2 linked regions of the Drosophila melanogaster genome follow. The protein of the gene in region 2 interacts with the protein of the main gene of each other region in a pairwise test. Each region holds a gene or a part of one and is shown on either strand. Other genes may lie near its edges.

Evidence for each region.
Region 1: the proteins of cv-c (region 2) and CG8701 interact in a two-hybrid assay, tested with the Drosophila melanogaster proteins (one large-scale study listed by BioGRID).

Annotation. Positions count from the first base shown.
Region 1 is NT_033778.4:8,369,278-8,372,689, forward strand, and holds CG8701 (uncharacterized protein), read left to right. Parts: upstream 1-1,795; 5' UTR 1,796-1,974; coding exon 1,975-2,715; 3' UTR 2,716-2,865; downstream 2,866-3,412. Other genes in the region: CG2127 (uncharacterized protein), read right to left, coding at 1-643.
Region 2 is NT_033777.3:14,478,693-14,483,487, reverse strand, and holds the start of cv-c (crossveinless c), read left to right. Parts: upstream 1-1,774; 5' UTR 1,775-1,908; exon of another isoform or gene 1,909-2,575; 5' UTR 2,576-2,846; intron 2,847-4,795.

The DNA.
Region 1 (3,412 bases), on a different chromosome or scaffold from region 2:
CCTTCTTGCACTCCATGGGATTAAGCATGGGCATCGTGGGACGGGCTGTGGCCACCACCGTCTTCCGCTGACGGCGGCAGGGCTTCGGACGCGGTCGCTTTGCGTGGATGCACACCTTCTTGGGCTTGATCACCAACCGGGGGCACTCGTTCCACGTCACCTGGTACTGGCGGGCCTCTTTGTCCGATATGCGGTAGTGCTGGATGTCGTACCGCACTGGCACATCGCACTTTGGCACGTACTCGCAGTCGGGTATATACCACATGGACCTCATCTTTGCTGGCAGCTTCGGCTTGTTGGACTTTTCCTTCTTGGGCTCTTCCTTCTTCTTGCGCTTACCGCCCTTGACTGCATCGCAAATGGTGCCCTTGAACCGAGCAGGACCACAGCCCTTGGAGGTCGATACCTGATCGCAATCCTTTGGCCGCCCGCAATCATCGGCGGAAGACTGACTGCTGTAGTTGCGGCGTAACAGGTGCTGCCGGAGCACACTGGAGCCAACGCAGTCGGCCGGGGTTTTGATTTGGCTCAGATTCTTGGACCAATCGACCTTGAATAGAGAACAGGCATTTACCAAAGACTCCAGGCACGGCATGCTCCGATCTACGAGGGAACGACATTTCTGACGCAACATTCGCAACATATTGAACCTTTTTACCAAATTTTGTTTTACAAAGCCGAAAATAGTCGAAAATATGTTATGTTAGGCCAAGGACTGAGTGTAGACTAACTAAAACCCGACATCCTCAGCTCGGAGTGGGCATTCACAGCATACTTTATAGGAAATTTGGAATACAAATTCTAAAAGACCTCTAGATATATCTAAGCTACACCTGTTGTACCAGTTGCAGTGCCTTTTTTTTCCCCACTTTTGTGAGGGTTCCTCTTCCTCATCTCAATTTGCTTTTCAGGGAAACGAGTATATAACTTAAGATATACATATTTTAAATATCTTAGAGAATTTATAGTAAAATCTATGAAGTTTTGCAAACTTGTGGGAATGGTATTATCGTACCCGCTACTAGTAGAGTATACTAAATACGATGAAACGTAAGTAAATGGCAGAAGGATGCATTTCCGACTCTATATACATGTTCATTCCCAATCAGGCCATGTCGGGCACTTAAAAAGGTATGCAGGTTGGATTGACCAACCAGACTCTAAAGACGTTAGCGCAGCACAAAATGGTTTTGGTAGAATTTGCCGCAGAACCTGTCTCCAAATACTTTTCGCGACCTAAGTGCTGAAGAAAATTTTATTATACTTTTTATTTTATTTTATATTATATTATTATATTTAGAGTAAATGGGTATACTAGATTCGTTTAAAAATGTATGTAACAATCAGATGGAAGCGTTTCCGGCCCCATAAAGTAATATATATACTTTAATCAGACTCAATAGCCGAGTCGGTCTGGCCATGTCCGTCTGTCCATATGAACGTCTCGATCTCAGGAACTATAAAAGCTATAAGGTTTAGCATACAGATTCTAGAGACATTGACGCAGCGGAAGTTGACCCATGTTGCTGAGTAATGGCTCTTGTTTTTATTTGGATTTCAGTTTATTTTTGACCAATTGTAAATCTATTTCGTCACAATTTTCGTACTAGCAGAATAAGTGGTATGTGATTTACGGAGAAAACGACTGTAGGGTTTTTTTTCTTTTATGTATAAATATGGAGTACTCTGCGCTAACAGAGTATTTCCTCTTTCTATATAATAATATTCTGAAAAGGATGCCTTGAAATTTACTTCGATGCGATGTAGCCATGTCGAATAACTTTGTATGCCAGTTCCTCTCGGCCTCTTCCAAAATTCACATCGGCTCCGTTGAGCTGATTGTGTATTCGGTTACAAATTTGTAGTTTGGTCATTTTTCGGTGCCGAGGGATTTTCATTTTTGTTTCGGGATTGTTGTATTTAGCGATACCTTTCTTTCCCCCCCGAGAAATTTATATCAGCCCGTATCCAGCCATGTCTATGTGGCGCAGTATTGGAACGAAAACCCAAAATCGAGTAATACCCAGCTTTGCGAGCGTGGTCTGCCATCGCGCTTTCGCAAAGGACCACAATCCATCTCCAAAGTGCAGTGACAGTTCTGGAAAGGGTTGCGGTAATTTTACCGCTTGTGGAGACCCCCGGTTCGCGAAGAAACCACCGCCGAAGAAGGAGGACGGCTTCCAGTTCCATCATCTGGTGAAGCAGCCGCCGGAGTGCTGCACCGATCCCTGCGCGGAACGGTTCCCCCCGTACGACCAATGCTACTACAAGATCTCTGACAAGGCCACGCGCAAGTACCAGGTCACCTGGGTGGAGTGTCCGCCCATAAAGATAAAGCCCAAGAAGATCTGCTGCTACGAGGCGGGAATTCGTCCGCCGATCCCAAGGCGCAAGCGCAAGAAGTTCGTGACATCCGCCGAGTGTCCCACGAATGTCGAATGCCCCACGGAGGGAGGACCCTGCCCTAGAATCAAGATGCCCGGCTGTAAGGCCGTAGACAGCGTCTCTTGCCACGTCGTTAGACGTAAGACCGACTGCGTCAAAGTCAAGGCCCCCTATCCTTCCTTCTCCGAGTGCAGCCGCTCTCGTCTTCGCAAGCCTCGGGGCGTTGAATGCAACTGCCTAGATGTTCCAAGCTCCTGTGACCTGATTCGTGAGCTGAAGAAGTTCGAAGGAAATCCACGGAAGCCAAACTGCGGGGGCAGTAGGGCTTAATTCCATAGTGCTGTTTGAATCCTAATCCCAGCGCTCAGTATCTTGTTCCGTTGACCTAAATATTCCAAACCGATCCAGTTAAAGTAACTTTTCTACCGTGCGTAAAATTCAGACTAGAAATAAACCGAACTATGATTTTTAAATTTATTTAATTAGATAGCATTGATCTTTCATTCAATAAAATATTTATAACAATCTCCTAGGGGAAGGATTAAATGCACACATGGCTACTATGGAGTCTGGTTGCATAAGATTGTTATGCGCATTTGGTTTACTCGCCGCTCGAAAATAGTTTTTGTGTTATATATTTTGGTTTTGAAAACCTGGACCGTTGCTACTTAGCCATGTAAATCGAAAACATTTGCCCGACTCTGGATGAGTATGCAAAGTGTCTCGAAGAGGGGATGCGGAGATGGCGTACAACTGCGTGCCATATTAAAGTCGCTTATAGCAAATTACCAATTCAGATATATACGAGTACACACAAATCAGTTATACCCGGCATCCATCAGCATATTCCCCTGGCTGTTGCTTTTTGGACGTCCCTCTCCCTTTTCGTATTTCCTTTAACTTTGAATGCATGCAGGCCGTCACATTTATTCGAGTTCGAGTTTGATGTACGAGCCGAAATGCATGTGCATAATCAAAAGGGGAGCGGAAGGAGCCTTCTCCCGAAGACAATCGAAATGAGACAAGG
Region 2 (4,795 bases):
TCCGAAAATATCTGCGTGGCATCTTTTTGTTTCTCAATATTTTTGCTTTTGATGTGTTTACCTTTCGTTGGAAATCAAGGGGGCCAGACGCTATCGATCAAGCATGCAGCACATCACACGGCATGGAGTTTCTGAATTGGAATCTGGAGTTCATGAAGGGACTGGGATTCATTCGGAGATTGGGGAGCTCCTCACACGCTCGCTTAGATTTCAACACAATGGGCAGTTTCGATTTCAAAGCCGGCAAGAGAACCCGAGCACGTAGATCGGGTCGGGAATGGTTATGGGTAAATGGGTATATCTCTCTGCGACGTTGATGCGCACCTTCGATAAGGATGAGACCGACCGGCGAACACACCTCAAAACGTTATGAAATGCGGAGGGAACGAGAAGAGAAAACGCAAGAGAAAAGCCAATAGAATGGAAAAATAAGGAGATGGCACAAAAACAGGAAAGAGTTGACACGGCTAATCCTGACGAATTGTTGTTAGCTGTCTTGGTTCATTCAACAATTTGGTCGGAACAAGAGTTCGTTCTCCTCCATAAGAATGATTTATAATTTCACGTGCTTTATTCTTGGACCTTACAAACGTCTTCGGTTTTAATATTTATTAACTAAGCACCACCAATTAGCTGCAACTAATTAACTGCCAGTTAGAGGTGTTTATATGATTTTTTTCCTCTTATCTTATACTCCTACAAATTATTAATGGTATTCAAAAGGCTCATTATGCCATTAACTTTATGGTTTTCAAACTGTGGTCATATCTGTATTTTTAACTAAATTACAGACTTGAAGGATTTTAAATTAAAAGTTTAGCTATCTAATTAGATAATTATTCATTTACACAAATCGTAGAACTCTGCTAACCGGTTATTGAGTATTTTATTGCACTTGAAACGTAAGTTGCTTTAAATCATGATTATATTATGATTAGTAATATATAATTTGTTCTTCTGACTAGGAACATTAGTTTTGTTTTAGTAGGTTACAAAAGTAAAGTGATTAAATAGTCCACAGCTCACTTGTGAGTTTTTCATTATCATTATATACAGTTAGTTTGTCTCGCTTTCGTTTTGGTTCACACAATTTTATGGGTGAAAAAGTGTTAAGCCAATGCAGGCGCTAATCAAATTGAGACAACGAAAGTGTTAAGTCGACTTCCAGGAATCGGGCTATTAAATGAGCGTTGGGCCATAAATCTGCAGATAAGACAATGCCCCACTGATAAGAACTAAGGGAGATGCCAGTCGATAAAGCCTGAAAGAGGCTGCACAAAGATGAGGCCCGGGTCATAAAATCAGAAACCCAAACACACTAAATAAGCCATAGAGAAGACTAACATGGGATTTTATCACCGCTTGTTAGTGTAAATTTACAAACACATTCGAATGGGTGTGTAAGAGCTACAAATACATCCATATGCTTGGAGTTTTTCCAACTGTTTTTACTTTCAATAAACAATTCTAGGGGATTTCCTCTCGAACTGCAACATGCTTGAGGTCGTTTGAGATCGCTCCGATCGGCTCGAATTGAGCTGTTGGCGCAGTTTGAGCGCAACATGTTGCTCTCTTCATAATTCTTGCTGTTAGCTCGCTCTGTTAACCGGTAATCGCGGGTCTCGCGCATGTTAACTCCATGTGAACAGCAAGCGAACGTTTTGAGTTCCCATAGAAATAGCGTCTGTTAACCGCTAAAACGCTGTATCTTAACATTTCCATTGAAAACAAAGCGGGTAAGCAGGGTGATCCAACCACGAGTTTGTTGGATACAACAGTTGGGTTTCCACCTCGACCGGGAAAAGTCGGGCAAATTTAAAGCGCTCCTCTGTTATTCAAATTTTTTAAAAACATACTGAATCCAAAAAACCGTTGTTTATTGGCAGTTCTCAGGTTTTTACGAAAAAGGTGAACATTGAATTTAGGATCCGAAAAAACGTGCGGGTCAAGAGATGTAAATATATTGCAAAATACTGCATCAAGTGTTAATAATCATTTTCAGAAACATAAGCTAAAAAACTGTGAGTGCGTGACATCGTGTGTTTTGGATACGTTTTATGAATGAGCGCGGGTGTGAACGAATTTTTCGGAGTCAACAACAAATAACGAACGCGATAAACAGAGGCACACTCACACAACCGCGATTAAAAAGGCACTCTCCATTAAACAATAAAGAAATCTCTTGTTTTTCGAAAAGCAAATAGAAAATACGAAAATGTAGCGCGGAAATTGCAGTGCCAAAGAAAACAAACGCATCGTTTGTTGGGCTTGAATTTCGCACGGTTTTAACACTTCCCATAATAAAAAATAAACATCTTTCGAAACCAGAAAAGTAAAAATAAAAACTGCGTGCAGAAAAATATATAAAATTAAATAGTGCATAAAAATCGGTTTTCTTTGCGGTTCGGTTCCGTTTTTGTTTATTTGTAGTGTGCGTGTGTTTCTGTTTCCCCCTTTCTATCTCTATCCCTGTCTCTTTCTCTGCCTCACCGCCCGTCTCTTTCTCTCTTTCGAGTAAGAGAACGCGTGCTTTTGTTTTCGATTACGTTTACTACATTTTTTGTACGCCCCATAGAAAAAAACATGACGAAATGTTGTTGTTGAAAACGAGAAATAAATACAAGTGATTCAGAAAAATAAAAAAATAAACGAAACAACGAAAATAAAAGAGAAATTACACATCTGATTTATACGAAAAGAAAAGTTCTGTGAAGCAATATACGAAAGTAAAATTCTATTTGGTGTTTATAGAATCTCCGATGGTGTTGTGAAATCAAAGAAATAAAGAAAACCCAAAGCTACAGATACTCTCTTCGCGAGCAGCAACCGCAAACGCATCTAAAAAGGTAAATAGAGCTTCGGGACCCCATGTCGCTTATCTTCGGGGTAGGATAAACAATCCATCCAGCTTATCTGCAGGTCCATAAAGATCTGCAGATCTCGAGAAATCCAGACGTCGCTTGTTTATGGGTGGCTTCGGGGCTTCCTAGAACGAAACGTCAGAGTTTTAGATACATCTTGTGATTGTCGCCGGGTTTGCCACTTACTTTCACTCCCCAAAATTTACCTGAGTTTCTCGGTTTTCTAGTCTTTGACTTTGTGGTACAACTTTATCTTGTCAGCTGCGAACTGAAAAAGATAGTGATAACCTAAATAGTATATGTTTACAGTTAGTTAGTCGCTGGCATAATCTACGCGACGCGTTCGAGTTATCTGCGATCGTTTTTATTGGCCTTATACGAGTTCTGATCGGCTTTCTTTACCATTTCCGCTGCTGTTTGAATTGTCAGCGCTTTATTTTGATTCATAAATCATAATCGCTATGTATTGTAGTTTGTTTACACTCTGGTCGAGTGCTGCTTTTTCCCTCCAGCGTTTGTTTTTAATTCATGGGAATAATCACCGAAAAGTGCACAAACAATCCGAATCCGATTTGCATACTTATTGAGAACTCAGCCAAATGGCAGGCGTAGCATTTCCGGTTCTAAAATGCGTCATCGGAGTATGTCGATCGTTTTAACCCCCGAGAAACTGAAACTGGCGACCCGTTTTGTCTACCATAACAACAACTCTTGATACGGCCCGCCCTTTATTATTTTACAGCATAGCCACCTTATATATAGAAACTCGTTTTTCGTTGTTTCTGCCTTTGTTGTTTATACTCCACATACGTACCGATAAGTATGTAAATAAGTTCACAGCGAAACACTTGTGCTGGGTGCTTGATAAAATAGCAAATTTCAGGTAAATAAAACTGAAACAATATTTCGACTGGCCTGGCGTTCTTCATCTTCTGGTTGGGAAAGACCCAAAAAAATTGATAATTCAATGTTTATAAGTTACATGCAGTTAGGATTTTTAATATTATTTCATTTATTTAGATATGAAATTCAAAACATAAACAAAATAAACAAGACATCTCCCATCCTAAAACATCTTCCGTAAAAAACTCGCTTCTGATTTTTAATTAAACAAAACCATGTTACACCCAATCCAGCAGCTTAGAAGCAAATCTCTGCCCAGATTTTCCCTGATTTAGTAAAATCGCTTTCCCCTTGTTCGGCAGCTCGCAAACATTTATCAGGCGGGGCAGGTTCATCAATTTCGTGTGTGATAAATGTCGTACAAGAATTTACACAAATATGTATGCATGTCTCTATGTCTCTGCTCCAGCTGCCGGGTACAAGCTGAGTTGACAAAATGATTTGTTTGGGCGCCCCATGTTTTGTCTTATTGTCGCCAACCCCTCACCAGAGCATCTTCATGATCACCGATCGCTGAGCGCCACCCTGAACTTAAGGCCAGAATCTCGAATCTCGATGCAGATCTCATCTACGGACTGGAGTAACGAAACAGCCACTAATTCCAAACAATGTAAGGCATTATTTATTTTTAACTGAGGTCATCAGCGTAGACATCGTCTATTACAAAAAACGCCCGCCTCTCTCTAGAATTTTTCATCTCATCGTGCTGGGAGCTCCGGTTCTCCGGTTCTACGATTCCCCAGTTCTCAGTGCTCCATTCTCTGTTCTCAGTTTTCCGATCGCTACACAGAAACACAATATGATCGGTTTTAAATCTGATATTATGATTAAATTCAAGCATAAGGAGGAAAATTTTGAAATCTTATAAGATCTATCTGCTCTTTTAAGTAAAAATTTCTTAATTACATAAAGACATGAATAATATTTTACTGAGCACTTCTTTTTTGTGTTATTATTATTATTGTATTAAAACATCGATTTTTTATGTGTACGGTTTTGAGTTCTATAGTGTTGTTCTTATTTCAAACTTA